Linked DNA regions of Canis lupus familiaris. The protein of the gene in region 2 binds, or shares a complex with, the protein of the main gene of each other region. Links are inferred from orthologs where the notes say so. Each region holds a gene or a part of one and is shown on either strand. Other genes may lie near its edges. The genes, in order: RAB4A and RBSN.

Evidence for each region.
Region 1: the proteins of RBSN (region 2) and RAB4A are in contact, whole or in part, in a crystal structure (PDB 1Z0K), measured with the Homo sapiens proteins. The link is inferred for Canis lupus familiaris from reciprocal best matches to the Homo sapiens genes RBSN and RAB4A. Residues at the interface, in NP_001289307.1 of Homo sapiens: Glu441, Gly442, Trp443, Leu444, Pro445, Ser447, Glu454, Pro458, Leu459, Gln461, Gln462, Asn465, Ile466, Phe469, Asp480, Glu481, Thr484, Leu485, Asn488, Leu492, Glu495, Gln499; in NP_004569.2 of Homo sapiens: Tyr10, Leu30, His31, Ile34, Glu35, Ile46, Gly47, Val48, Glu49, Phe50, Gly51, Ser52, Lys53, Lys63, Gln65, Trp67, Arg74, Phe75, Ser77, Val78, Ser81, Tyr82.

The regions. Positions count from the first base shown.
Region 1 is NC_049225.1:10,355,542-10,370,919, forward strand, and holds the start of RAB4A (ras-related protein Rab-4A), read right to left. Parts: upstream 9,651-15,378; 5' UTR 9,632-9,650; coding exon 9,571-9,631; intron 4,306-9,570; exon of another isoform or gene 4,112-4,305; intron 1-4,111. UniProt on the Homo sapiens protein: The small GTPases Rab are key regulators of intracellular membrane trafficking, from the formation of transport vesicles to their fusion with membranes.
Region 2 is NC_049241.1:5,261,383-5,276,760, forward strand, and holds the start of RBSN (rabenosyn-5), read right to left. Parts: upstream 10,201-15,378; 5' UTR 9,901-10,200; intron 1-9,900. UniProt on the Homo sapiens protein: Rab4/Rab5 effector protein acting in early endocytic membrane fusion and membrane trafficking of recycling endosomes. Required for endosome fusion either homotypically or with clathrin coated vesicles.

The DNA.
Region 1 (15,378 bases), on a different chromosome or scaffold from region 2:
GGTTTGCTGGCCTCATGCTCCCATCGCTGTGGGTATGGTAGCATGTGTGTTGATTCTACTGACTGACTTTGTTTTTTATAATCTGTGGGCTTTATTTTCTTTTTCTCTTTCCTTGCTTGAAGTTGAATGACATACATCAGATATAAAGCATATGTTTCATATGTCAAATGTACAGTGCTTAACAGCTATGAAAGGGTTTGGAAGCAGGTAAATAACCATATTACAGAGTAAGGCAAGAAAACTAGATTGTATAAGTGTATAAGAAGATAACCTAATGCAAACTAGTTAAATAATTATGTATACTTATATCAGATTTAGTGTGGTTTCATTATACAGGTATTTTGCATCCAATTTATGATGACTGCATTCACCTGATGAGGGTTTCCTCAGCATGAATTAAGCTTGAAGGTGGGGAAAGACCATATCCCAAAATACAAAATCTAAAATGAATATATGCTACTAATGTGCTTTTAATTTTTCATGAGAAATTTAAATGAGATAATAGGAAAAGTATCAAATAAATAGAAATCAGTTTCTACTTAAAAGTTAACCATTCAGGAACACAGGCAAAATACAGAGCAGGAACAAATGGGCTCCAAGCTAAATGAAACAGCTAACACAGCCAAAAGATTAAGTCTACAGGAGAAACCTCATTCATTTGGAACTTACTGATTTGTCTTTACATTCATTTCAAGGAACGTCTAACTCCCCAGACCATAGCAGATGAGAAGCATGTACTTAGAACTGTAAGCTACGGGTACAATGACAATCAAATGCTGACAGCAAAGGCAACTACTGACCAGGAAACAAGCCAGAAAGGGACCTGAATAGCACAGTAAAGTTGTTCAGCAATTGGTTATCAACGACGACCTTGAATCTTCCAGAAGATTAGGTCATAGTGAGTAGACAAGATGGCCTTTGCCATCCTAGTTTCTCCCATGAACAGTGGCCTGGCTTTTAAGATTTCCAAAGGTCAGATAGGAGGCAAAGGTGGGTGGCCTTGACTGCAGGATTCCTTCCATGTTTCATTTCCTTGCAGAAGAATGTGGTGTGAATTCATCCTCGCCTGATGTGACAGCAAAATCAGCCAGCTGAAGATTTAAGAAGCAGGATGCTACAGATAAAAAGTACTGACAATCCTTACAAGAAGCTTGGCTGTAATGGAAAGAAGTGGTGGAGTGTTCAGGGGAATTAGAGTGTAAGGCAAACAAAATGGAAGTTACCAGGAGCAAAAGAAAGGATGGTTGGTGGTTAAGTCTGAAAACTTGAGGGATGAGGTCCAAAGAGGAAGGCAGGGACTGGTCTTAGAAGAAGAGAGGCCTCTTTTCCTCCAACACCCTAAGAGAAGGATCAAGGCTGAGTGTGGAGGTAAGTAACTTCACAGGCTGGAGAAGGGAAGGGGAAGAGAGGTAGTTTCCTCAGCAGAGAGAGCATGTTCTTCTTTCCTCTCATGCTGGACATGAGAAAATGGGCTTGAACAGATTAGTGATGGCTTAAAACAGCAGATGGAGCGAAAGGGCAGGATGACCAGGATAAGAGAGAGGATAGCTAAGCACTACTGAGTGTCCCTTGAGGGCAGACCATAAATCCATAGCGAACTTAATGGAAAGAGCTCTGTCTGTACAGCAGCAGGCAAGACAGGTTGGGAAGCCAGGGATGGGAATTTGCAAAGCACATACAGCTGAAGGACGAAGAAGGAAGAGGTGGAAGGAAAGGCTGATGGTGTCCTCCTCTCTGGAGAGGGAGCAGCTCATCACCTGACAGAAGGTGGGGGGTGGTGCCCAGGAGGCTCCAGTTCTAGTGAAGACTGGGTGGGAGTGAGCAGAATGGGACATTTGACCAGCCAGGGAAGTAAGTACCTCGGGTAGGGGCAGAAGAGAAGGTGCCTAGAGATGAAGTTAGGAACCAGACACTAAGCTGCTGACTGGCTTCTCTGCATGGATACAGTAGTCACCCAGGAGCAGGGAGGAGCTGGAGCAGAGGGTAAGATCCTATGCCAGGTGAACGTGTAGAATAAGGAATAACCCCCAGATCAGCAAGTAACCAGCAATGAGAAGGAGCTCACAGAGCTCAGAACATAAGACGGCAAACACTTCAAAGAAAAAAAAAATGTTCTGGTACACTGGTCAGAGAGGAATTAAGCTTCAAAGAGCTTGGTGACATGTTGGCCTAGGAGAGGGCCTAGGAGAGGGAGACGGTTTGGGCAGCGGAAGAACATGTGATCTGTGGAGGGCAGGTAAAATGAGGAAAGGCAGGTGGGAAAGACAATAAGGCCTAACTCTAGGACTCCATTGGCCTGCCCGAGCCTCGATGAAATGCCAGCAGAGAGGATCTGTGACATCTGTGGATTTCACATTTGCAGCACAGACTCTGATGACTGCTCAAGGTCTGGGATAGAATCTGTGATTTTGCTGAAGAGCTCACCTGGATCAAACCTACTATGGGTCAGGTGTGTGGACACAAGTAGTTTGCAGGTGAGTGAGTCTAGCTAGACACCCGCCCTCGAAACTGCAAGTTCTCAGTTGCTTTCTACATGATATAATCACATACAAAAAAGAAGTAATTCTCCTAAAGTGGAAAACTGTCCAAAAAAAGAAGTCAGTGGCCAGGGCAGTGCACACAAAGAGACCTAATAAAAACAATCACCCTTAAGTGTGCAACAAGTTTTGGATACTTCAAAGAGTAGGATGTCCCATTTGATTTTGATACAAGAGAATAAAATTATATTAAGAAGGACAAGTCGTTTGTGAAATGTTTCCGAGAACACTATAACTAGTGTAATTCAAAGAGAGAAGTTGAACGGTTGATTGTTTGAGAATACATATACAAAATACTGTCTTTCTGAACTGTCTGACTCTGAGCCAGACTTAAATACTACAGTATTTGAAATTTTAGAGATTACACAGATCTGTGAAAGCATCCCTTGTAAATGTTAAAGGTCTTCCGCATTAGTTTGGGAGGTATGAGCTTTGGTCCCTGCTACTCTCCCCCTTTATGCTGAGTTCAGAGAAAGATTTTGACTCATATTAAATGTCCCATAGACATGACTCCAAAACTGGAGACAGATTTTGGTTGTCTAGAACATGCGCTAGAGTAATGACATCCAGTGGGAATGTTTCTTCTGGGTCACCACTGACCCGAGGTTTTATGGAGGAGATTTCTGTATAAGACAGAGAAGCAGAGTTAAAAACCTGACTGCCCTTGAGAATGTGATGCAAGGCAAAGCTGATTCCAAATTCTGGCTCTCCATCTCCCAGTTTTGGGACTTGAGGCAGAGTACCAAACCTCTGTTTCCTCACCCAGAAGAGGGCCCCAGTGAGGATCCGAGACACTGGACACAAAGTACTCTGTGTACACTATTCTAACTTCACCCTTTATCTAGAGTAAGAGTTAGCATTCAGCCTTGGGACACCAATGAGGAAAAATTTCCCAGTATAATCATGGAAACAGAACAATAGCTTAATACCAGAAGAATCTTCAACCAGTACACACCCAACAAACTTCTTTAGTCATGCAATAGCTAGAAATAATACCGTTCTTGGGAAAATGTAATAGGGAAAATGAACTTTGTTATTATATAATACACACCAGAGGAAATACTCTAATTCATAATGCTTTTATAGTTGTAAACATTAAAGGATCTTATTTGCATAATAACAAAAGACACCTTAATATCAATATGGACTTTATTCTTATAAAGGTGTAGTATCCTATGTTATGTACATATTTATGACAAGTTACTCAAGGTGCTAATATATGAGAAGTGGAAAAATAGCAATGGGCACCAAATAGCCAAGTTCCATTTGCTCCCAAAGTATTACCATGGTCACAGTGACTCTGAAAAGGAATGTCAGGGACAGCCTCGGTGGCTCAGCGGTTTAGCGCCTGCCTTTGGCCCGGGGTGTGATCCTGGAGATCCAGGATCGAGTCCCATGTCAGGCTCCCAGCATGGAGCCTGCTTCTCCATCTGTCTGTGTCTCTGACTCTCTCTTTCTATCAAGAATAAATAAAATCTTAAAAAAAAAAAAGAAAAGGAATGTCAGTCTTCAAAACACCAAGTATTTTTAGCACATTCACCAAACAATAAGAACTAAAGACAAGTGTAAGTTACCGTGTTTGCAAAATGACAAGAGAAATTTCAATTTTTCTAAGAAGACAAGGGATTCTAATGTGTGTGCGTATGGCCGACATAGACAGACACCATGCTCTCTCTCCTACTGTGCTGCTTTCTCTCACTACTTCCTCACTGGAGAAGCAAAGGCCTTGAAGAACATTTAAGTCCATCATCTTCAGGAAGATCACTGCCTGGAACAAATGATTGAAACTGAATTGTAGCTTACATTTTTTGGAGACTGTAGTAGGCACTGTTGTAGTAAATATTCTGCCTAACAGCTACTCCCCAAGAAGCCAAAGTAACAGGTAGACATGACCCCAAAACTGGAGACAGACTTTGGTTATTTAAGCCAATTATGGTCATTCTGAGCCAGAGACTTGATCAGAAATACATACAAACTTAAGCTACACAGTGCGAAGTATTACCCTGGCCACATAATTGGTCCAGGGTCAGGCTCTTGACCCAACATGGCCCACCCAGATGGAGAGGAAGGACTTTGACTCCATAAATGCAGGGAAGAACTCCTTTTTTCCCCATGGATATTGTAAGAAAGCACACCCTGATTACAAAGAGTAGTCATTTTATGACTCTGAGGGGGATGAGACCAACAGTGCCAGCTGGAGGAGAGAGATGGGAAGCATTTAGGTCCTAGCTGACACAGCTGAGCTTCTGAATCGCCAACCCTGAAACCTCCTCATCTATAGTTATTTGGAAAAAAACTCTTTTCATATTACCTATAGCATTTTGAGTTGGGTTTTCTGCCACTTGCAGCCGGAAGCATTCTACCTGATAAAATGACCAAAGAACTAATCATCTATTAAACAGAAATTCTGTTAATTTTAAAAATTCATTTATTCTTAGTCACATAAAATCAATTTACAAAGAGGAGGTTGTTAAGTAAGAGGGACTTAGAACAACGGGAGTTCATTTAACCACTGTTTACTTGGTAACTATCAAATGCCAGACATTTGAATGTTTAGTGACCACAGATTCAAATCATCTGATACATCGGCCACCACAATAGGGTTACTTTGGCCCCTAAAAGCCCCCTGGCTACTGCGTAGGGTGCCAGTCTCCTCCCCCAAAGTGCTTGATGGATACACCTGCCTTCAAAGCTTATTTACTTCCATAGTTGACCAACTTCCACTTGATCACCATGTTCTCTCCTTAGGTACATTTAAGTGGGCAGCAGTCAGGCCCTTCAACTCCAGAAAGCAGTGAAAGTACCTCCACAAGTCTCTGCTCCCATGCACTGTGAACTGATTTAGGAATCGAAGTCTCAGAAGGAAAATCTATTTCCTAAAGGATGTATTGTGTGACCTCTTTAATTCAAGCAAATGTGATCTGTGGAAGAGGTTTTAATTAGAGCTGCAATTACACTACCCACAATGTAAAAATTGACTTCTACCATAAAGAAAACTATGCCTTAAAGTGGGGTTTTCTATTAACCTGGCCTTTCGTTTCATATTCTGTAACTTAGAAGAAAAACACCACCCTCAAATGGAATCAACAGTGCTTTCAGCAGTCCCTGAGGCTGTGTCCAGAAACCATTCACAGCACCAGGGACAGAATGTCACCCTAGCAGTCCACTGCTTTTAAAGGGCTTATGGTCTCATCTTGAAAGAAAAATGTTCTTTGTCATAACTGAGATTTGACCAAATTATAAAATAGATATGTAAAGTCCCTAGGTGTCTGGCTGGCTCAGTCAGTAAAGCATGTGACTCCTGATCTCAGGGTTGTGGGTTCAAGGCCCACACCGGGTGTAGAGAGTTAAAAATAAAACTTAAAATAAAATATGCAAAGTCCCCACAGGCAGGGCAAAGATGTAGTACTCATTTTATGAGGACTCCTATAATAATAATCAGAAGCTAATGAACAAGAAAAATGGTATTAAAACTAAGGGAGCACACTACATATAATATTTTAAATTATAACACAAGAGAGAAAAATACTTTGTTTTTAAGTTCCCAATTTTTTCTGCATGATTAAAATTTCATATTTGAAAAATTACAAACCTCTACAATACATCCACTCATTCATAATTTATTAGCATTTTATGAATAGTGTACCCTAGCTCCATATCTAAATATTGTTAGCTGCTTTGAAGACTAAAATGCAAAAGACACAGCACATAAGAGAAACAGAAACAAAAGACTGATGTAACTAAGTATTGCCATACAAGAGTTTACCATTCTGAGTAGCATAGGGCAGAGCCACAAAGCATTCTTTCTCCAGGTATCACAGCCATCATTATGGGATTCATTTCTGTTGGTCAAATCTCTTCAATATAAACTTATTTTGGTTTGGAAAGCTTTGAGGGGGATTACAAAGGAAGAAAATCTGTAGCTATACAGTGCTTATTTCATTTATGTGTTATAGTGCCATTCATTACACTTGTCTTACTTTATCCATACCTTACATGTCATTTTAGCTTTTAAATCATACAGCTACAGAGAAGCAAAAAAAAAATGTATTTTTCAAACATATAGAGCGTAGTCCTTTATCAAGATGAGACTGATAGAGAAGCAGGGACAGAGACAAGCATTACAGAACACAGAGGATTCAAAGGTTTTCCCTCAAACTAGTTTCACTGGCATGTATCCTAATGGGGTTTTCAGGAATGGGGGAAAAAAAAATCCATGACAGCAGTCTAACCAATCTCTAGGGGATGGTTTATGAGAAGAAATTCAAGAAATATCAGCTTTCTTCTTATTCCAAAGAAATATTCAGAGCAAAGAACATCAACACACTAGCTTGCTTATATACAGGTACAAGTGACCACTATAGTATTGAACCTTACAAAAGAATTCTATAATAGCTAGTTCATACAAAGGGCCCAAAGTGCAAGTTACTTTTCAAAAAACATTGGCGATATGGTCCTTAACAAAGGAGACCTTACCATTATTATTATTATTAGAAGTAAAGTGCACATTTATGCTGACACATAATCATCTTTCAAGGAGCACAACCATTTACTTAAATCATTATGATATTCCTATGAAGCTGTGGCACATGTTACCAATAGTCTGGGTCCCCAAATAAATTTGACCAAGACCCCTTCCAACACACCCCTACCAGAAACCACCAAGTCCATCCTTGCCCAGTGAGTTCATGCCAACTATTGATGCTGCTTAAGCAGTTACATGGCTGCCATGCCACGAGTGGTAGCAACTAGCATCGCTGCTCAAGTCACTGTGATGAAGAACCTTGGGATGATGGTTTTTTTTTCCTTATAATCCACTAATCTGACCCCAACGTCATCTTCCCTTGTCTCTTCTAGGGTAAATGGTAGCTTGAACTATGTTAAGGGGTCAGTTTAAAAAGACAGAAACCAACTGGACTCAGGAGACAGGATGATGAAGAATTAAAACTGGACTAACTTTCTCCTTAGGCAAATGGATACATCAGACAAATAGAAGGTTGGGGAGTAGTAGGTAATCAGTTGGGTCTGGGACACATTGTGTTAGGATACCCCAGGCCATCCAAATGGAATAGTTAGGTACAGAGTTTAATATAAGATATTAAACCTGAGTGAATGTGACTGGAAATAAAGGTTTAGGAGTGAGACATTCATAGGTAAGGACTGAAATGCTTTATAGTTTAAATGACCATGAAAAATTATCACAAACTTTTACTTTTCTAAAGAACAATGTTTTCAAAAGTCTATGGTATTGGAGCCATTGTACAGTATAGGGCCCTGAACCAACAAACAGTACCTGTCTGGCCTGGGAGCTGATCAGGTGTGGAACCTCCATCCATTCCACATCTACTGTATCAGAACCCACACCTTCACACACCAGGGGGCTCAGAGGCCCATCAGTTCCAGACCCATTGGTGTAGTGTTCCCCAAACTCTGGTTCTTAAAATGTTCACCAATTTTCAGCAAATGAGAAAAAGAAAAATACAAACATTAAACATAATAAATGTATTCAATTTATAGAAATGTCCTTTATCCTGATGTTATATGCTTCCTTCATTAACCTTGTTTACATGCCCTGTCTTTTACTAAAATTTTTTTAAAGATTTTATTTGAGAGAGCACTACAAAATTTTTTTTAAAGATTTTATTTGAGAAAGAGAGCACACAGACAGAAAGCATACACACACACACACACACACACACACACAGAAAGAAGCAAATTCCCTGATGAGGAGGGAGCCCAATGTGGGGCTTGATCCCAGGACCCTGGGATCATGACCCAGGCCAAAAGCAGACGCTTAACCAACTGAGCCACCCAGATGCCCCTCTTTCAAGAAATTAACAAGGTAACGGTTATCTTGGTGATTTCTCTAACAGTAAGTTATTTTATACTTTATTGGTACCACATAACTTTAGAGATGTTATTTCCTTTGCCTGAAATAACCTCCTAACTCTACCTCTCCTAATAAGCCCCAATTTCTCTATGAATCGTATTCTAACTACCAAAGCCTATGTATTAGTTTTTTGGGGCTGCCATAACAAAATACCACAGACTGGATGGTATAAAAGTAGAGAAATTTATTGTCTAACAGTTCTAGAGGCTAAAAGTCCAAAATCAGAGGTCAGTAGGGCCATGCTTTCCCAGAGGCTCCAGGAAAGGATCCTTCCTTGCCTCTTTCTAGCTTCTGGTGGTTGCCGGAGATTCTTGGTGATTCTTGGCTTGTAGATACATCACTCCAATCTCAGCCTGCATCTTTGTATCCCATTCTCTCTGCATTATCTATGCAGATTTCTCTCATTTTATAAGAATATCAGTCACTGGATTAGGGCTTACCCTTATCCAATAGGACCTGTCTTGACCTGATTACATTACGTCTATTTCCAAATAAGGTCACATTCACAGGTCCTTGGGGTTAGGACCTAAATATGCCTTTTGGGAGATACAATTCAACCAACAACAGTCTATAATGATATATTTTTAAAAGAAGATATCTTGATAATTCTCCAAATTAGGTGGTAAATATTTTAATACTGTGCTTTCAAAGTAAGGCACAAGGGCAGCCCGGGTGGCTCAGCGGTTTAGCGCCACCTTCAGCCCGGGGCATGGTCCTGGAGACCTGGGATCGAGTCCCACGTCAGGCTCCCTGCATGGAGCCTGCTTCTCCCTCTGCCTGTGTCTCTGCCTCTCTCTCTCTCTCTCTCTCTCATGAATAAATAAAATCTTAAAAAAACAAAAACAAAGTAAGGCACAAAATAAAAATAGTAAGACTATATTGTAATAAAAATCAGCATAAGACTAAGAATTTGTAATGTTTCTGTTTCACAAACTGTATTTACTATAGAAACCATGAACTCCAAAGTGTAGAGATTTATCTTAGATGTTTCCTCAGTGGTAGACTGCTTTACTCCTTATTATTTTTTTTCTGGCATTTCAGGCACCACTTACTTTTTAGCTCCTTTCTGATCATTACTGCTTGGTACTACCTATTCAGTTTGTTAATTCTGTCTCACAAGTCTTGGTGTTAGGCATTACTTACAGCCGATTTCTGACTTCCCAAGTCTTGGATGGTTGGAGTTCCTCAGGAAGTTATAAGCCATACTAACTGGTCAAGGCTTTAAGAATGCTGTAAATCTAACAATATTTAGGAAACACTGTTTCAGTTTAGAGATATTAAAATCCAGGGTTTCAATCTGAAACCTGTTTAAAATTTCAACTTTGTATTACAATGTTATATACAGTATTCAATATTATATACAGTATGTGGTATATTACATGCACAGTATATATTATATACAGTATGTGGTATTGGTTTCAGGGCAGCAAAATGTTAAAAACTACTCAGTCTCTGGAAGGTGAAACATTGCCTTAATATGCTAAAAAGCAGGTAGATGTAGCTAATTAGTGGTACTCTGTGTAAGCACTGGCTCTTTATTTTTCATCCTATCCCTGTCAAGCTACACAGAGACTTCTTTTCTGGAGGAGAAAAATGAGCGTAGAGCATGAAGGAGTTTAAAGGTTAGGCACACATTCCTTTACTAGCTATCAAAGAGGCAAATGTCTGGAAGCCGGAACCTGATTGTTTTACTTTTGGGGAACAATGCTATGCAAATACAGTCAATGATAAATGAAGGTGACAGTTTAGGACTTTTGGTTGATTCTTGTTTTAGGTTCACAATTTCAACTGCTACTTTTGCTGTTTCAAAAACGAATTTTCTATTCCATTAGTTTTCTCTAATTGCCTCTACTAGAGAAAAGATGAGATTGTGAGTAAAAACAGCAAAAACATATTTGGGAAGTATCATGACATTAGAATACTATTGGTGAAAGCCTTTTGATCATCATTTAATCAGTTAATCTGTGATGCTCAAAAGTTCAATTAACTGTGTCTAAAGTGAAGCAGAGATATGCAGTATTTTATCAAGGCTATTTCATACTAGACAAATGAAAACTCAAGTCCTTCCTTACTAACTCATTATCCCCATTTGGTTTTATTTTGACTTTTCACCCCTATCTAATGCTACTTATCCAGGTTCAAGAAATAAAGCGTACGGGGTAAGGAGCACTTGAAAATAAAGAAAAGCAAAAGTACAGCCAAAAAATTGCTAGAGAAATGTATTTTCTTCACAAAATCTCCGTGGTTATCTAAAGGGAGAAGCAGACCACGTGGATGCACAGGACCATTTGCAGCTCTGACAACACTTAAAGCACCATGGACTTCCTGGAGGATTTCCCAAGCCTTCTAGGAATAGATGTAATGCCCCAAGTAGCCCCAAGAATGGGGCAAACACAAGTCATAGGAGGGGCTGAAGGTGAAGCAAATGTGCTGTGACCTCATACCTCTGAGGAGAAAGGTGGAAACCTGCCAAAGGCCCTCTCCACCACACCCTCACCCCTGCTCCACTGTTTAGGCTCCCCTTGTTGGAACTCCACCTCTCTCCCATCCAGGCCTGGGCATCTGCTGTTCTGCTATGCTGACCAGCTACTAACTACCTCCTGGGTTCCCCAGTCTGAGCCAGGTTTCCTTCCAACATACTTTCCTAGAGCACACTCCTTCAGAACTCCAGCCTGGAGCTTTAACTACTCATTCTGTAGTACCACGATGGCATTAGCTCTGTATCCTCCACTAGACTGCATGCTCCATGAGACCAGAACCACGCCTGTTGTGTCGCCTGCAGCACTGACAGCGCCTCCCAGCACCCTGCCTGCTCCATCAGGCCCTTCCACCTATGTTGCCAGAGCAGCAGGCCAGCACAAGTGATCTAAGTTCAGGTACATACTTTTGAACTTGAACCTCTCCCTGGGATTGTAAAACTCCCAATCTAAGGGTTAATCTGAGAATGCACACATCTGAACAAGTGATTAGTGACTGGTAAACATCTCAAGCCTGGCAAAGTAGACATGTACGATATTATTTATTTTTTTACCTCGCAGGGCTAAAACACCACAAACCCAAAAACAGTCTATGAATTGGAAAGGCTTTCGATTACTCGAAAAATTATCTGTGGAGACCCCTCTAGGGGTGGGTGCTTCAGGGGAAGCAAAGATTAAACAGAGCTCTGCTTCCAGGGTGTTTATGGTTTTAAAAAGGCACATTTATAAATAGCCATAATGCAACCCAGAAAGGACTAAAAGCCCGAGAGATTGAGAAACAGAAATAAAGGAGGCAAGAGGTCTCCGCAGGAAGACATGGATTAGTCTATTGATTACTTCTCATTGTAATCCCAGGGCAAAGAAAGGAATTCCAAACCAGGAAAGGTCAAGCTGGAATATTCGAGGAACACACAGGAATGCAGGCGTCGCCCTAAGTCCTTCCCATCCCTCGTTGGGGACAACATCGCAGAGCAAAGTCCTGAACTGGCTTCCCAAACCCTGAGCTAATGAAACTGGACCAGGAAAGGGAAAACCCTCCTGGTGTGAGCGCGGGGAAAAACAGGAGAAAACTTGAAAAAGCAGCTCACGTAAGTGGGCTCCACACCGCCCGGCCGGCGCCCCCGGCCCCCGCCGCGCCCCCGGCCCCGCGCCCCCCGCGCCCCCCGCGCCCCCCGCGCCCCCCGCGCCCCGCCGGCCTCGTACCGTAGGTTTCGGACATGGCCGTCTGCGACATCTTGGGAGCGGCACCGCCTCTCGCCGGGTCACCGGCTGCAGCTCCGGCCCCGCGGGCGGGAGGGGAGGGCCGGGGTCGTCCTCGGCGCCTCGGCGGGATTGGCTCGGGGCGGGGGACCGGAGCAGGGAGGGGCCCGCCGTCCCCACGGCAACCGCCGGCCACCCCGCGGCTGCGGCCCTGCCGGACTGCCGGCTCCGCGCAGGCGCACGGCCTCCGCCCCCGCCCCCGCCCCCGCCCCCCGCCGGGCCGGGCGCCGACCGCGAGGAGGAGGAGGAGGAGGAGGAGGAGGAGGAGGAGGAGGAGGAGGAGGAGGAGGAGAGGGGGTGAGGCCCGGCCCCCGCCAGGGTAGCGCGTGCGCGCGCAGCTCGCGGCGGGTCCTCGGATCCCGAAGGCCTGGCGGGGGCGGGGGCGGGGGCGGGGGCCTCGGGGCGCGGGGCTGGATGCGGGCGCGGCTGGAGGGGCGCAGCTGGCCAAAGTCGAGTGGCAGAGGAGGGCCCTGCGGTCGGCAGGCGTGGGGTGACGGAGCGTAGGGGACGCCGAGATCCAGCTCCTGGGCAGGGGCGGCAGAGCGCCTGCGGTGGGAAGACGGCCCCGCCCGGGTGGCTCTCCGCAGCCGGCCTCGTCGTCGTCCGTAGCAGTTCGAAGGCCGGAAGAGACTTCTAAGCTGTCCTGATCGCCCGGGCAGGAGGTTAATGTATAACCCGGAGGCTGTAGCCCCAGCTGTCCTGCTAGAGACCAGCCCGGTGGGCCAGGAGCCTGGCTTGCCTGCGGTGGAAACTGAGCTTTCGCCCGCACCTCCCGGGCCTCTCCTGTAGGGCTAGGCTGGTGTCTGCGGAAAACCGTCCGCAGCTTAAGGAGCGCTTGTGGAACACCCTAGGGTGGCCCCTCTGCCTCCCACTGTAGGGGAGTCTGGCTTACGGGCAGGAAGCATCTCTTGGTTCTCAACTAACGTTAGGAGTTTTGATTTAAGGGGCAAAACTGAATTCAGAATCCCCTTCTGCTGGACATGCAGAGATAAACATATATTACGAAGAGAATTTTGCTTGGGAGTTTGCTCTATCTAAGCATGATCCGGGCCACATCATAAGACCCAACTTCATTCAAAAGATATAGTAGAATACTAAAAATATGCCTTGGCTAAGCTCCTAAGTAACTTGGACTATGGGAAATGCTAGTAAATACATTTTTTTTTCAAGTCCATTTGGCTCCATCCTCCATATAAATTGGCATCAGATTTCACTGAGGCCTTTCCCCTCTTCCCCAATGGCCATTTGGCTCTACATTTTGTTCTTCTTTCTGATCCTAATAGCAAATAAACACATCCTGGCTTCTAAATCACAGAGAAGGTCCCATGCTGAAATATTGTGAAAATGATAATTTCCTAGAATTATTTTGTATATATTTCTTGTTCAATGGCTGAGATACTTTGTTGCCGTCTTATTTGGTTTTCTGCCTGTTAGTTTTGATTTACCCTACTGAGTATAGCAGGCTAACCTGATGGAAGCTATTTCAGAAGAAAGACAGGGATGCCATTCTTTAGATCTAAGTTTTCTTCCTGCCAGAACCTTCTGTGGGTAAGAAAGGAATCACTGGATTACAGTGATTGCTTGGGTTATTGACTGAAACCGGACCTCAAGATCTCTGAAATCTGGACAGAGTGATAGAAATAAAAATTAAGCTGCTATTTCAAAGTTGAGAACAGTTTTCTATTCTGTGGACCATGAAGAGACTTAGACCTTTGAGGAAAACTATTTGTTTTGGAAAAATTACCCAAAGAAGTCATTTCATTTGCAAATAAAAGCCAGATATCGCCAACTGAAAAGGAAATACTCAAGCTGAGATTTGAAGGAACTGTTTTTTGAATAATAATGTGAAAGGTCCTTCGCATCCTAGTAACTTTGCATCTTTGAGAGAAAATAAATTTCTGGGGATCCCTGGGTGGCGCAGCGGTTTGGCGCCTGCCTTTGGCCCAGGGCGCGATCCTGGAGACCCGGGATCGAATCCCACGTCGGGCTCCCGGTGCATGGAGCCTGCTTCTCCCTCTGCCTGTGTCTCTGCCCCTCTCTCTCTCTCTCTCTCTCTCTCTCTCTCTGTGACTATCATAAATAAAAAATAAAAAAATAAATAAATAAATTTCTTCTAAAAACCCTCAGAGACCACTTTCATTCTGAGGTGCTGTTGATTGTGTGAAAAGAAAGCTTACTGCAAAATTAGTGTTTTCTCCAGTTATTTTCTCCTTTCTTTTTAGAGGAGGTTTGTGATAGAGTAAAAGTAGATTTCCAAAAGCCTAAGCACATTGAAGATTTGTCTACAGGAAATGAAGGGAGAAAGATTTCTTCCAAAATAGATCTACTCTTCCTATCCACTCTTCCTCAGGACAGTGGGTCCTGCAAGTAGCTGGTACTCTCTCTCCTCCCTGGCAGTGCTTCACATTTAATGACTGATTAGGAACTTCAGGGGGCTGCCAGCCTCACAACAATTTCTGTTCCCCAGGACTGGTAGAGAGGACCACATGGGTTGGGACAGTGGTCTCTCTGTAGAGACAGTGGGCATATAACAATGACTGAAGAGCCTTTCAGACGCCTATGCATAGGGTTGGACCCAGAAAGGTGATCCAGTCCCTTGGAAGGGAGTTCTAAAAAGGCCTAGAAAGAGAAAGCAGTGGCACTGGGAATGAAAAGACATGGCATCCTTGGCAGAGCTAAACTTGGTAGAGAGCACAACAGTCTGTGAGGCATGGTGACTTTACTTGGTGGCTAGAGTTGAAGAACCTAAGCCAATTTGTGTCTGAGTCCTTGAGGACTCAGAAATATCTAGGTGTTACTTTGAGAAGGAGCCAAGTTCTACCCAGGTAGGTAGAGGCTTGAAAAGGTGACCTTGTTAAATACCTGTGACACACAACTCTTCAGGTTGGAAGAGACCTCAGAGGCCAGTGGACCAGTCTGCCTTCTAAGGCCATCCAAAACTACACCTCTGTAATCGGACACGTCTGCTAGGGAATGTTTAGTCAGGATGGGCTAAGTTATCTGCAGTGAAAAAGATCTCCCAACATGCCTGTAACTAACACAGTGAAGTTCATCTCTCACTCAGACCCACCTGCCCCACTCATGCTGGCTCCATTGTGAGCACTCAGCACCCAGGTTGACCCAAGTCTCATAGGCACACGCACTCCCACCGTCACTTGGACAGGAAAAGGAACCAGCGCTAATTGTGCATTAGCTCATGATGATCCCATCAGGA
Region 2 (15,378 bases):
TCTACCATTTACAAAAGCCAATGTCACATTCACCATTTCACTTGCTCAAAAAAGCAGTGACAGTGTGGCCTGCAGCTTGTAAATTAATTCTGAAAATCAAGATGGATCGGCCACTGCTGTTTTATTTTATTTATATTTTTAAAAGTAATGATGATGAAGAACTTCTTGTGTGCTTTACAGTTTATCAAAAACATTTTCATTATTTAAATCCCTTGGATAACTCTATTACTATTTCTATGTCAATAATAATAATGGCTAATATTTACTGAGTGATTCACATGTGCCAGTCATTGTTTTATGTGTTTTATATGCTGGGACTTACTTGATTCCCACAAAACTCTATGTGGTACCAACTAATATTATTCCCATTTTTAAAAAAGATTTCATTTATTTCTTCATGAGAGATGCAGAGGGAGAGGCAGAGACATAGGCAGAGGGAGAAGTTTCCCTGTGGGGAGCCTGATGTGGGGCTCAATCCCAGGATCACAACATGAATGAAAAGGCAGATGCTCAACCACTGAGCCACCCAGATGCCCCCTATAGTTCCTATTTTTAAAGTGACAAATCTGAGGCACAGAGAGATCAAGTGACAACCTCCACTTTTTCTTTCTCCGCAAAGGCCTGGTCTCTGAGCTGTCCTGCATCTCTCAGCATCTTCCAGGTGCCGATCATGTACCAGGCATAGAGATAGAGGATGTGAGAAAAATAAGGCAGGATGGTCTCTCAGTCTCGAAGGAGGCCATAGCTGTCAAAGAATAAGGATACAAACACTCATATATCAGTTAGTTTAAGAGAGCGAGAGAGAGACGTGTGCATATGTGTGCAGATGCTCTGGCATCAACGGGGAAACTGGTGAAATCCCCCGTGGGACTTCAGGGAAGGTTCCCAGAGGCAGAAACACATGAGCAGAGTACTCAGGGAAAGATAATCATGAAGAACCTTCCAGGCTAGGGGAACAGCATATGCAAAGGCATGATCGTGGAGAAGAACACGTGTCCCTTGAGAAACTTAGAAAAAGTCATTCATGCTTACAGCATTGTTCCCAACACTGTAGGGAGCTGATTCTAAGGGTGGACTCAATCTCTTCACTTTTGCCTTCCACCTTATGGTTCTCTCTCTCTAACTCTCTCTCTCTCTCTAGCTCTCTTTTTCTGACCCCTTATTGTGGAAGTCTATCCGAAGCAGCACAAGATGTCTTGGCATCACATTAAAACCCCTGAACAGGAAAGGGAAATCACGATGCCGTAAGCATACGTCAGGGGAAAGTGTGCACCACGTCATGCAACTCCCCAAAGATCTGGCTTCCCTCCAGGCTGGCCCAGGCCCCAGTTCTGCTGGCCGCCACCAACTGCTACTGTGGTGGTGAGTGGGCAGGCAGAGGGGGTACAGGTTGGCACACCCCGTCCACTGGCACAGGAAGATGAGGGTAATGAGGGAAGAACTGGCAGGGCTGTGGGAAGCAGGGCCTGGTCTGCAGAATTGGCAGAGGGTGTGCCAGGTTGAGCAGTGTCCACAGGGAATCTGTGGCACCTGCTTAAGGTCAGTAGGAGAGGAAGCAGAGAATGGAGGAAAGAAAAGAGGAAAGAGGGAAGGAAGAGAGGAAAGCAAGTAAGGAAAGAGAGAGAAAAGAAGGACAAGGAAAAAGTTAAGAGGCAGAAAAACATCATGGTTATAAGTAAGACACTGGGTTTTAATCCCAGCCCAGTAGCTATATGTGATCCCAGGTCACTTAAATTCTCTTAGCTTTAGTTTCCTCGTCAGTAAACTGGGATAATAGACCTCCCTCCTAATCTGGAGGACTAAACCAGTTCCTATTCGGAAAGTGCTAGAACAGTGCTTGGCACATAGGAAGGACTATGTAAATATTTGTTAAATAAAGAAAAAGGAGGGGAGATGTCTTTCAAATGCCTTGGCAGTTGTGTCAGCCTGAGTCAGACAGTGCCATAGGAGGTGTGACGATCCAATCTGGTGTCATGGAAACATCTCTGAGAGTCACGGCCCTGCCAGATGGGAACCCAGATGAGAATCAAGTAGTAACTACATTCATTGATCTAAGGGAGGTGGGGTGAGCAATGACACCCTCACAGATCTGAAAAGTACGATCCATGTGGATCTCTTGGCAGGAGGGCATGTGAACTGCCAAGGCCACACAATCTACAGGTTGCATGCTGGCATCTCCTTGGACCTACTTTGTAGGGCCACCACCAGCTGTAGAGGTCTTTAGTGAATGGGAGAGAGACTCCCCGTCAACAGGTGAGCCCTGTTCCAGCACTCAAGCCTTGCACTTGGTGAGTAGGGCAGCGACTGGATTTCTGCTCCCGCTCGATCCCTCAACTGTGCTGTCCACAACCTGCACCAGAGGCCCCGGGGCGAGGGCCAAGAATGAAGGTTCAACACAGTCCTCCAGTCGAGAAAAATCACACTGCTTATCTGTAGTTTCAATTTTCATTTTTCTGACCTAAATCTCCAGAGATACGTGTGTGCCTGGCCATTTGAGAAGTTATCCCAAATCCAAATGAGATTTGAAATAATCCATGTATATGTGGTATTTTAAGTATCTGGGGCATTTAAGAGAGTCTGTCATGTAGAACATCTAACACATTAGACACATGACTCCAGTTTAAAATGTGTAACTCGGCAGTGGACTTGCACTTTTAAGTTCATTCAACAAACTCTATGTTAAGCACCTGCCTACATGGAAGCCTGAGATAAACCAGACAGTAATTCTTGCCTTCAGGCAGTTGACATTCTACTGGAGTGACACAGACGCTGCACAATAGCTACACTAGATAATTGCATTTTATAGTGTGTTAGAAAGTAATAAGTGCTATTGGAAAAAAAGCACAGAGTAGAGAAGATGGGGAGTGTCGGATCAGAGTATCTAGTAGGGTGATCAGAGCAGGTGTCCTAAAGAAGGCACCATTTGAACAAAGACCTGAGGCCAGTGAGGAATGAGCCATTCCATGCAGAGGAAACAGCCAGTTCAAAGTCCCCAAGACAGGGATGTGTGTGGCAGATTGAAGAAAAAGTAATGAGGCCAACCCCCGTGTTCCTAGCAGCACTAGTCACAACAGCCAAAAGATGGGAACAACCCAGGTGTTCATCAACAGATAAATGGATAAACAAAACGTGTTCTGTCCATACAATGGAATAACATTCAGTCATAAAAAAGGAATGAAATTTTGGTATTTGTGACAAGATGGATGGACCTCTTCTGTTATGCTCAGTGAAATGAGCCAGATGCAGAAAGACAAGTACAGTATGGTTCCATTTATATGAGATCTCTAGAATAAGCAAGTTTGTAGAGATGGAAAGTCAAACAGATGTTACCAGGGGTGGGGGGAGTGGTGGCTGGAAGTTGCTGTTTCATGGGTATGGAATTTTTATTGGGAGTGATGGAAAGGTTTTGGGTATAGATAGTGGTGCTAGCTACACTACATTGTGAATGTATTTAATGCCAGTGAATTGTACCCTTATGAATGGTTAAAATGATAAACATTATGTGTATTTTGCCACAATTAAAAAAAAGTAATGCCAACAGAGCTGGGACAGAGAGGGCCAGGGAGAGACTTAGAGGAATTAGTTCCGAGAGCTCAAGGGGAGAGGGCAGGTCATGGCTACTGCAGGGACTTGGGCCTTTACTCTGAGTGAGGTGGGGGCCAGGGAAAGGTTTGGAGTAGGGGAGGGACAGGATCTGACCTCTGGCTTCTGTACTGAGAAGAGATGCAGATGGCAAAAACGCCAAGTGTGCTTGGCACGAACTGAACGGTTGACAAGTATCAGCTGCAAGGATTCATATCAAGTCTCAGAAAGGAAGCACAAATTCCAACAGTAGGTGCCTCTGGGAAGGGGAGCTGGAGGTGGAGGGCTCTGCAGTAAGCGGAGCAGGGGGCTGTGAGGAGCTGATGCAGCCACCGGGGGGCGCCATAGGACCAAGCGACAGCCGTGCACACAGCTCAGATTGTCCACTCCTGGATGGTTCTACGGATTCCTTTATTTTTTTCCCCTAAAGATTTCATTTATTTATTCATGAGAGACACAGAGGGAGAGAGAGAGGCAGAGACACAGGCAGAGGGAGAAGCAGGCTCCCTGCGGGGAGCCCAATGCGGGACTCGATCCTGGGACCTCAGGATCACACTCTGAGCTTAAGGCAGGCGCTCAACCACTGAGCCACCCAGGCGTCCCGGCTCTACTGGGTCCTATTGTCTTCCGAGGCTCCCTCCTCCTGTCGGGCAGAAGAGGGTGAAGACCCCAGCACTGTGGGGTGGGAGAGTCAGTCCCCCCATCCAGCTCCTGCACTGCTGAATTAAGGCCCCTTTCTCTTGCAGGGGCTGGACTGAGCATTTGAGGACAGTGCGGAACTCAGATGGCCCCACACACAGCCATGTTCTGGACTGGCCTTCTGCCTTCAACAGAGCTCTTCAGTTCTTTCCTTTCGGGGACCCCAGCTCAAACCTACTCTTTTAACAGCCCTTTCATTACAGTGAACAGTGCCTCCATTCAGCCAGGTGCTCCAGTCAAAAGCCCTGGGATCATTTTTGACTTCTCTCTTTCTTTCACACTCCACTTCTAATCCATCAGCAAATCCTGTTGGGTTTTGCTCTGAAATGGATCTGGAATATGCCCACTTCTGCCCACTTTGCCACCACCCAGGCATCTCTCACCTGGATGACTGCAGCAGCCTCCTCCCTGATGCCTTTGCCTCTGCCATCACCCCACGAACACCTACAGACTCTGCATCTCATACAGATGGAAGGTCCTACTGGAACAAAGTCATGTCCCTCCTCTGCTCAGCACCCTCCCAAGGCTCCCTCCAAAGTCTTCACAATGGTCCACAGGGCCCTACACGACCTGGCCTACAGTGCTCTGCAGATTCATCTCTTGCCACCATCCCCTACCCCAGGGATGCATTCACGATGGCCTCCTTGGGCTCCTGCTCTCAAGCAGAGGCTCCACCTCTTGGCATCTGCGTTTGCTGGTCCTGTGCCTGGAATACTCTTCTCCCAGATTCTTAAATGTCTTTTCTCCCTCATCTCTGCACGCATGTCACCTCTTCTCTGACCCCACTATCAAAATAGCACATCCCAGGCCAGAGCTGGGACCAGGAGAGGCAAGTGAGGTGCCCAGGGTGCAGAATTTAAGGGGGCACTCACTTCCAGGACCGTGCAAGTACTGGCCGCATTTTTGCACTCTGGGGGCCTCACTCCCCACCCCCTGGTCCTGGCTATTCACCAGCATCCTTACTCCTTTACTTCTGTGTCGCTACTTTGCATTTGTTTTCTTTCTCACTTAGGAATACGTGCCAGAGTTGACTGATCACCTTCCTCCTCCTGGGATGAAGGCTGCAGGAGGCTGGGAATTTTGTCTCATTTACTACTGTATCCCCAGCCTCAAACTATGCTGGTCCATAAAGGCCCTCAGTAAATGTTTGTTGAAGGACTCAGTGCACAAATGTGTATCTTGGGCAGGTGGCTGAGTCTCTCTCAGCCACCATTTCCATGTCTGTAAAATGGGGGTGAGAGGACCCCACACCTCCTCGAGCTGTGGTGAGGACTGAGATTGTATGTCTAACACAAGTCATGTGGTTTCTGATGTACAGTGTACAGTCAATAAGTGTACAGTCAGTAAAGGTCAGCTGTTGTCATTATTCCTGTGAAGCCATGGATCCCATACTAGGGAAGGTAATGCTAGTTGCTAACAAACCAACTGCAGGATTTTGGTGCCATAACAACTTGTAATGGCCAGTGCAAGTTTTTCTGATCAGTGGGGCCAGTGGGGGAAGAAGGAGGTGAAGAAGAACTCTCTCTTGTCAGTCATTCATTCCTTTGGAGACTGAAGACAATCAAGCCATGGCTTCAATGTCTGGCTTCTAAGGTCACCCTGGAGCTCGTGTCCAGCCAAGAGATGAAAGAACAAAGAATGGAAAAATACACCCACTTCTCAACCACCTGACCCAGAAGCAGCATCATTCTCTTGCACCTTCATTGACAAGAACCCGTCACATGTCCCCTCCCAGCTGCAATGAGGGCAGGGTAATGTGGGGCCAGGCTGGGCAGCTACATCCCAGTGTTGCATGCCATGGTGGAGAAGCACACAGCTGGCCTTTTCTGCCTTAGAGACTTTCTTAGATGAGGTCTACACTCCCTGAAAGCCTCAGGCTTGAGCCTCTGCCAGGCTGTCAAGTCACCAGCTTTGCTGGCCTGGTGTGAGAGACCACCCCAGGTATCAACTGTGGGCACCCCACCCTAAGGGGGTGATGCCCTGGATTGCAAAAGATAGCAGTGGAAATCTCATGGCCTCAGCATCTCTCTCTCTCTCTCTCTCTGAATCAAGAGGATGCAACTTGTCACAATGGTCTTTAAGGCTGAGTTTCTGGCCAATTCTCTTCTGATCAGCAGATTAGACAGCCCAGCATAGCTAATCACAGTCAACGTGTGAGGAGCAGAAGACCACAAAAGTGTTGAAAAAATAGAGAAGAGTCTGGGAGAGGCCAAGTCTTCCCCTACACTTTTAGGGTTCTTTTCCCTCTGATTCTATGGGTAGCCAAATCTCCCCCACTCCTCACCTTTGTCTCTTCTCTACATCATCATCATTATCACTGTTGAGCGGACGCCTGTTGCATTTTCCTGGCTGGCATACACCCCCTTCATACTGGTAACATCTTCAGTCCTTGGGGGAATCACCCTCCCCTGCATCAGTCTGTGTGGTTAGGTAATTTCCATAACTCTGTGCTACAGAATTTGCTATTGAATCCATGACTTTTACGTGAGATTTAAAATCCAGCTGGGCCCCACCGCCGAGCAACCTCTCATACTCCCACTGCCTTCTCACCTCCAGAGTCTTCTTTTTCTAAAAGCTCTGTGTCCACTCCTGGGAAGTCTTTCAAACTCAATAGTGCACATGCACCTTCTGTAAAAAGAGAGGCTGCCTCTGGCCAGGCATTGGCCCACATGGACTGAGAGCTGAGAGGCTGGTCTGGGGAGAGAGCTCCCTTGCTACAGAAGCTCTGTCAGTCAACTATTGCTGTGTAACAAACACTCCTGAGCTCAGTGGCTTAAAACAAACCACTAAACTCAGTGACATGAGCATTTGCTTTTGTTCACTAGTCCACTTACCAGCTGGGCAGTTCTTCCGGTCTTGGTTGGACCCTCTCCTACATCTGAGATCAGCCACTGCCCAGGTATGCAGCCCTGAGGATCTTGCCAGAGCTCTCTCACATATTTGGGGATTGATTTGTCTAGAACAGCTTTGACTGGGTTAAATGAGTTCTGCTCCATGGGGTCTTGTAGCTTCTATCAGGCCAGCTCGGGCTTGTTCACAAAAAGAGAGCAAGCAAGGATGTCTGGGTGGCTCAGTGGTTGAGCATCTGACTTTGGCTCAGGCTGTGATCCCAGGATCCTGGGATCGAGTCCTGCATCGGGCTCCCTGCAGGGAGCCTGCTTCTCCCTCTGCCTGTGTATCTGCCTCTCTCTGTGTTGTCTCTCACAAATAAATAAAATCTTTAAAAAAAGAGAGAGAGAGAGAGAACAAGCAGAAGCATGCAAGGTCTCCGTAGGCTAAAGCTCAGAACTGTCACATTGTCACTTCTGCTGTCTTTTAGCCTTCTGTTGGCCAAAGCAAGTCATAGGACTGGCCTAGATCCAAGGATGGAGAAATGGACCCATCTCTTTCGAGAAGGAACCACAAAGGGGTAGGTATCCATTCATAGGCTGCCATCACAAACAGACTGGGTGACTTAAACAACAGAATTTTGTTTCCTCACAGTTCTGGAGGCTGGAATCCAAGATCAAATTGCTGGCAGGACTGATTTCCTCTGAGAACCCCATCCTTGGCTTGCTGATGGCTTCCCCCTCTCTGTGTCTTCACACAGTCTTCCCTCTGTGCATGTCTGTATCCTAATTTCCTCTCCTCCTAAAGACACTGCATGGGTTTGAGTTCCTGTAATGACCTCATTTTAACTTAATCACTTCTTTAAAGACCCATCTCCAAATATGGTCACATTCTGGGGTAGCAGAGGTTAGAAGTGCAACATACAAATTTTGAAGTTATATAACTCAGTCCATGAAGGATAGAGACTATGCCCATCTTTGCTTCATCTAGCACAGACACCTTGCTTTATCCTACGTATGATGATGACCCTACAAAAACATCACCAATTCACTCACGAGGAAGCTGAGGTTCCCAGGTGGTAAGTGGCTTAGGGAACCAGCCCAGAAGTCCAGGACCTTCAGACTAAAAGGCTCTCTCACATTCCCTTTTCCTCACTGGGGGTATGTTCCCGGGCAGAGCCCAAGATGGGGGCAGGTTATCTGGAAAACCAGTTCTTCCTCTTGAACAAGCTGATGTGAGAAACAGGGCAAAGGCCAGCCATGCCCTGCCCCCATGGGTCCCCTCCTCCCTGGATCCACACACAGAACACCCAGGTCTCCCCTCCCTTGACCTGGAAACACACTGGTTAGTTCTTGAAACAGAGCCTTGAATTCGGGATGTCAGGCACACTTCCCAGGCTCCTGCAGGGTGCCACTCCTGGTCCTTTCCAGACAGTTTTAAAGCGGGGAAGAGTATCCTTCCCACATTCGTATCAGACTGCTTTTTACTTCTGGCATAAGCTGTGCTGTTTTCCTGCTTCCTCACCTTTGCATATGCCATTCCCTCTGCCTGAAGTGCCCTTCCCTTCTCTCCTACCCCTCTGAGCCTGGCTAACTCCTCATCAACCTCTAGAACTCATTTCAGTGGTGCCTGGGTGGCTCAGTCAGTTAAGCATCTGCCTTTGGCTCAGGTCATGATCTCAGGGTCCCGGGATCGAGCCCCCCCATCCTGCTCAGTGAGGAGTCTGCTCCTCCCCCCTGCTCATGATCTCTCTCTGTCAAATAAATAAAATCTTTTAAAGGGGGTTGCTGCTCCTGTCTTAATCATGTACCAGCCACACCCTACTTGTGGAATTTGAGCAAGTTCTTTTTTTTTTTTTAAGATTTTATTTATTCATGAGAGACCTGAGCTGAAGGCTCAACCACTGAGCAACCCAGGTGCCCCAAATTTGAGCACGTTCTTTAGCCCCTCCGTGCATTAGTTTCTTCACCTGTAATTGTGTGAAGATCCAGGGAGTTACTATATGCCAAGTACCTAGAAGAGTCTCTGGCACAAAGTCAGTATGCAGAGATGCCTGAGTGGCTCAGCAGTCTAGCATCTGCTTTTGGCTCAGGGTGTGATCCTGGAGACCAGGGATCGAATACAACGTCAGGCTCCCTGTGAGGAACCTGCTTCTCCCTCTGCCTGTGTCTCTGCCTCTCTTTCTGTGTCTCTCATCAGTAAATAAATAAATCTTTTTTAAAAAGTCAGTATGCAATACATGTGAGCTATTATTTGTGTTATTATCCCCCAGAGCCCTGAATAGGACCTGGCCCGGGAGTTATTTGCTGAATTAATGAATTATGAATGACCTTCAGCTTCATGAACAGAAGACGGGAGCATGGGGATGAGAAATAAGAATATCACCAAGCGCCTTAAGCATTTTAATTAGAGCCTCCTGCACGCCCCCGTGCTGTCTGGCCACCGCTTTCTGCTCCTATTTTTGTTTAGCCTGGGTGGCACTTTGAGGATCAGAATTTGGGGCATCATCTTCTGCCTGCGTCCTGAGCCCATGTGCCAGACCCAGTGGCCTCCCACATGCCTCCCAGCCGCTGCTTTAAATAGCTTCCTTTTGCTAACTGTTAATATAAAGCCGGGAGCAGAGCTTATGTAAGCCGACCAGCATTTCCCCCAACTTAGCTGAGACCCTGAGTCCTGTAAATCCCACCAGAGGGGGCATGCGGGCTTGTCCCACCAACAGGGGCCCTGGAGCATCAATCTTCTGGAGAGACAGGTGGCAGAGGCTCAGGGGAGCTCTGGGGAATCACTCACCTGTCCCTGGTTGTACTTAAAGAATTCAGATACTTGTCTCACATCTTCCCATTGATCTGGAACAGACCTGGACCTCGGGGTCTTTGACATTCTCCATGTGATTCTGATGCTCAGCAAGATTGAGGATCACAGGCCTAGAGCCTCTGGCTTCATCTACCAACCACTGGGTGGGCTCTTTCCAGGCATTAAGCAGGGGTCTCACTTTCCTGACCCCCACCCACTTTTTATAAGCGACAGCAACACTTCTGGGCATAGTCCTTGAGTCCACTGGGTGGTCTGTGTGCCTCCTGTGCAATTTTGCCCTCTCTATAAACCACCTGTTACTTACTTTGAATACTACTCACTTTTAAATTTTAACTTCATTCTAAGAAGATGTGAAATAATGGACTGGATGTACTAGTCTGTTTTCTTTAATACACAAATAAAGGCCAGACTGTTAAAATTTAAACCCATATGCTACAGAAAATCATTTTGTGCAGAGCCAGGAGAGGGAGGGAGCAGGGAGGAGTCACCCCAGGGTACATGGGATCAGGGAATAGAGGGTGCCTTCCAGGGTTGCATATCAAGAAAGGCGATGGGACAACTCCCAAGTCAAGACCAGCATAAGTATGTGGAAAATGCTTAGAATATCTCTAGGGGAACCTACAAGAAACTAGTAAAAATTACCACCTCTGGATCTTTTGGACCTTTTTTTTTTTAAAGATTTTTTATTTATTTATTCATGAGAGACAGAGAGAGAGAGGCAGAGACACAGGCAGAGGGAGAAGTAGGGTCCATGCAGGGAGCTGACATGGGACTCGATCCTGGGCCTCCAGAATCACGCTCTGGGCTGAAGGTGGTGCTAAACCGCTGAGCCACCTGGGCTGCCCCCCCTCCTTTTTTTTTTTTTTTTACTTTTAAAAATAAATCTTTCGGGGTGTCTGGGTGGCTCAGTTGGTTAAGCGTCTGCCTTTGGCTTAGGTCATGGTCCCAGGATCCTGGGACTGAGTCCTGCATCAGGCTCCCTGCTCACCAGGGAGTCTGCTTCTCCCTCTCCCTCTTCCCCCTGCTCATTCTCTCTCTCTCTCCTCTCTCTCAAATAAATAAACAAAATATTTTTAAAAATAAAATAAAAAAATAGGGCAGCCCGGGTGGCTCAGCGGTTTAGCACGGTCTTTGTTATTTTTTGTTTTTGTTTTTGTTTTTTTTGTTTTTCGAGCAAAACAAAATCAAATTTAATGGTCTTAAATGCAAAAGTAAAAACAAACAAAAAACACAAAAAAGCAAAAGAAAATTAACAGAACAGAACAACCCAAAATGTCAAGGCAGTTATGAAGAGAACTTGGGAGGGTTAATCTTTAAAACTACAAATCAAAGTGTTTTTTTTTTTTTTTTGTTAATAGATAACTGGCAAGAAGTAAGTACTTTTCTGCTGAGTGTTCATACGAAAGCAAAGTTTCAAAACAAAATCCGACTAAAATAGAAACAAGTCTAGCGCTCACGAGAAGGGATGCGAGAAATACAATGCTCAAATGTTTCTGTGTTCTTAAAATATAGAGCGATCTTAGGCATTCGAGCTGTGTGAACTGCTCTTGGAAAGTGGAGAAATGGTTGGGAACACCAGCGCCCGGTGTGCGGGGCACCGTTAGCACGGTCTTTGGCCCAGGGTGTGATCCTGGAGACCCGTGATCAAGTCCCACGTCAGACTTCCTGCGTGGAGCCTGCTTCTCCCTCTGCCTGTGTCTCTGCCTCTCTCTGTGTCTCTCATGAATAAATAAATAAAATCTTAAAAAAAAATAAAAATAAATCTTTTTATTTTTCAAGAGAAAGAATGGGCTTAACAGAAGAGTCGCAGATAGAGATGCCAGTGTCCCACTCCAACTTTAGCTGAGAATGTCCAGTGCTATCCAGGTAGCAGTGGCACAGAGCTGGGGTGGGGGCACCTGGCGTTCTAGTCACTGGAGACCAGCTGCCCTATGTGTAGGACACTTCGGTTTCCTCAGGCTTCACCTAGGGCAGATCCAGAAAACAATCTTTTCACTAAGTTTTGGCTCAGTAGGTGCTCTCTGAAGACATATTGGCTCTCCATTCCATTCCTAGATGCCGGGCCGTATAAGAGAGCCAGGCTGAGTATGCCTTGGCCAAGTAGAAGGCCATGAAGACACCAGTCTCAATAAGCTGGAGGAAGCATCCTGAGGGGTCCCCTGCAGCAAGGTCTCAGGGTCTGGAGGCCCAGAGGACAGAGCAAGGAGCCGTACAGGCATCATGGGGCAGTCACATAGTACTGAGTCTCGGTTAAGAGAGCAAACTCGTCTTCCCAGTAGAGCTGTACTGGTTAGGAAGTTGTTCCTGGGATGCCTGGGTGGCTCAGCTGTTGAGGATCTGCCTTAGACTCAGGGTGTGATCCCAGACTCCTGGAATTGAGTCCCACATCAGGTTCCCTGCACAGAGCCTGCTTCTCCCTTTGCCTATGTCTCTGCATCTCTCTCTCTGTTGTGTCTCATGAATAAATACATAAAATCTTTAAAAAAAAAAAAAAAGGAAAGTTGTTCTTGAGAGAGTGAGGTTCTCATCACTGGAGGTATGCAAGCATGAACTGAAGAAATATGTGTCAGGTAGGTTGGGGAGAATTTTACTATCCTCCCTGACCTTTAAGGCTCTTTGAATGATGGGCTTCTGGGATTCCAAATCCCTGACAGGAGCCCTGCCTCCTCTTTTGCTGGCAGGTAAAATGTGAGAGAAGGTAGGAGGTACTCTCCTGCCTCTATGCCAATCTCTTTGCCTCCCAAGAAGAATTTAGGTGGGTCAGGAGCACTGTGATAGGATGATTGAGGAGATCCTCAGGGTCTTCCAGAATCAAAAGTCATTGTTCGGCATTGATAGAAGAACTTTGGCCTTGGGGGGCACCTGGGTGCCAGACAGTTGATTAAATGTCTGCCTTTAGCTCAGGTCATGATGCCAGGGTCTTGGGATCAAGCCCCACATCCGGTTCCCTGCTCAGTGGGGAGCCTGCTTCATCACCCTCTCCCTCTGTCCCTCTCTCCTGCTCATGCTCTCTCTCTCAATAGATAAATAAAATCTTTTTAAAAATAAAGAAAATAAAAATAAAGTAAAATAAAAAAGAACTCCAGGAGCACCTGGGTGGATCAGTGATTGGTTCAGGTCATGATCCCAGGGTCCTGGATGGAGTCCCACATCAGGCTCCCTGCACGGAGCCTGCTTTTCCCTCTGCCTGCATCTCTGCCTCTTTCTCTGTGTCTCTCATGAATAAATAAATAAGATCTTTTTTTAAAAAATCTTAAAAAAAAAAAAAACTTCAGCTTTGGAGAGGTCCCTTCAGGAACATAGGAGATGGTGGGAGGCCTAGCAACCTCCAAATTAGTTCCTCTCAGACCAGTGTGGGGCCTCAGGCAGTACTGTGGCCTCTGACTCAGGCCTCCTGCCCAATTTGAGGCTCCAAGGTATTATAAACTGCAATAGATTTAGTTCAATTCAAAATAATTTAAAATTTTTTTAGTTTTTTGATAGGTATAAAACAATAGGCAAGGTCATGTAGTGAGAAGTGAATCTTCCTTTCATACTTGTTCTCTGGAGCAACCATCAATCCTGGTGTCTTCTAGAACCACACGCAAACATATGCACACATCTCTCATGAAATGTGTTTTGAGCACCTACTAAGTGTAGGGGTGGGGGCTATGGAGTGAGGGAGCACAGACCGGGGAGTTAGGCCTCGGTCCACGAGTCAGCTGGTAATACTTGACTGTGCCTATCTGCTAAGAGCAAATGTTTACTTCCTGGGGACCAGGCACTGTTCTGGGATCTTTCTGGTTTTTATCTCATTTAATTCTTACCACACATTAGTTGGGGTTCTTTGAGAAGCAGGCACCAATATGACATTAGTTGTGAAAGAGATTTTGGAGGGAAAATACCTGTGACGGAAAATAGGGAAGGAGCTAGAATACGATCACCAGATTTAGTAGACAAAAATACAGGACATCTATTTCAATCCAAATGTCAGATGAACAATGAATACTTTTCTAGTATAAGTATTCATAGGCAATATATCTGATACATACTTATATTAAAGAAGTATTCATTGTTTACCAGATGGTATAAATGTAACCGGGCATCCAGTACTTCATCTGGAGGCAACTGAATCACTGGACCATAATGCAGGTCTGACCCCTGCTAGCTGTTGTTAGGAAAAGATTATTTATGACTGTCCAATAAAACCTAAGCATGAGACCCTTCAGATGTATATCAGTGCCCCATAGCTTGGGAGATGATTGTCAACATATATCTTGGTGAGGTAGAGATAAAGGAAGCTTCCAAAGGATTTTTTTTTTAAAGATTTCATTATTTATTTGAAAAAGTGAGAGAGAGAGAGAGAGAGAGAGAGAGAGAGCAGGGAGGGGCAGAGAGAAAGAATCTGAAGCAGACTCCACACTGATCCCAAAGCCTGAGGCAGGGCTCGATCTCACAACCCTGACATGACCTGAGCCAAAATCAAGAGTCTGATGCTTAACCAACTGAGCCACCCAGTCCCCCTTCCAAAGGAATCTTTATATGGTAAAGAAGACTCACAGGATCTTGGTGGTCAGGAAAATGTTAAGCTAAGATTGCCTTTTGCCCTTAGTGAAGTATTAACACGAGGCAGCGGAGTTCTTACAGGAACATCATTCTGCCTGTTTCATTCGGTGACTTGCCAATGACCAGTAAGTAGTAAGGAAATTTGATTTTTTTAAAGATTTTATTTATTTATTCATGAGAGACACAGAGAAAGAGAGAGGCAGAGACACAGGCGGAGGGAGAAGCAGGCTCCATGCAGGGAGCCCAACGTGGGACTCGATCCCAGGTCTCCAGGATCACACCCTGGGCCAAAGGAAGTGCTAAACGGCTGAGCCACCGGGGCTGCCCTGATTTTTTTTTTTCTATTGCCTTTTTTCCCCACTTCACTACTACCTCCTTTGTCTGTGGGCTCTTATACCTTAGGCCACTATCCCTCTGCCCTAATCACCCCACCCCAGACAGCTGGAGAGAGCTCCTGTGTCCCAGAGTCTGCTGGAATTATTCAAACCAGCCAATCCTAACCAGCTTACCCTGCCTTCCCAGTTTCTTCCCAAAGAAGCCACAATAAAGTCTCCTGCCTACGTTTTCGTCCTGCTTCTTCTCCCTCCTGACACACGAGGTGGGTTACCACACAGCCCTTAGTGGCTTTGCATGCCCCTTCCTCTTAGGAGAGCTGTGAATAACAAACTATCTTTTTTTTTTTTTTTTTTTTAAGCAGGTGCTACACCTAGTGGAGCCCAACACGGGGCTTAAACTCACGACACTGAGATTAAGACCTGAGCTGAGATCAAGAGTCAGACACTTAGCCCACTGAGCCAGCCAGCCACCCCCCAAACTCTTCCATGGCAGTCCTCTCTCCATCTGTTGGCTTCACCATACCTGAATAATCATATAATCTACGTTTTAAAGCACTCCCCAATTCCATATGTG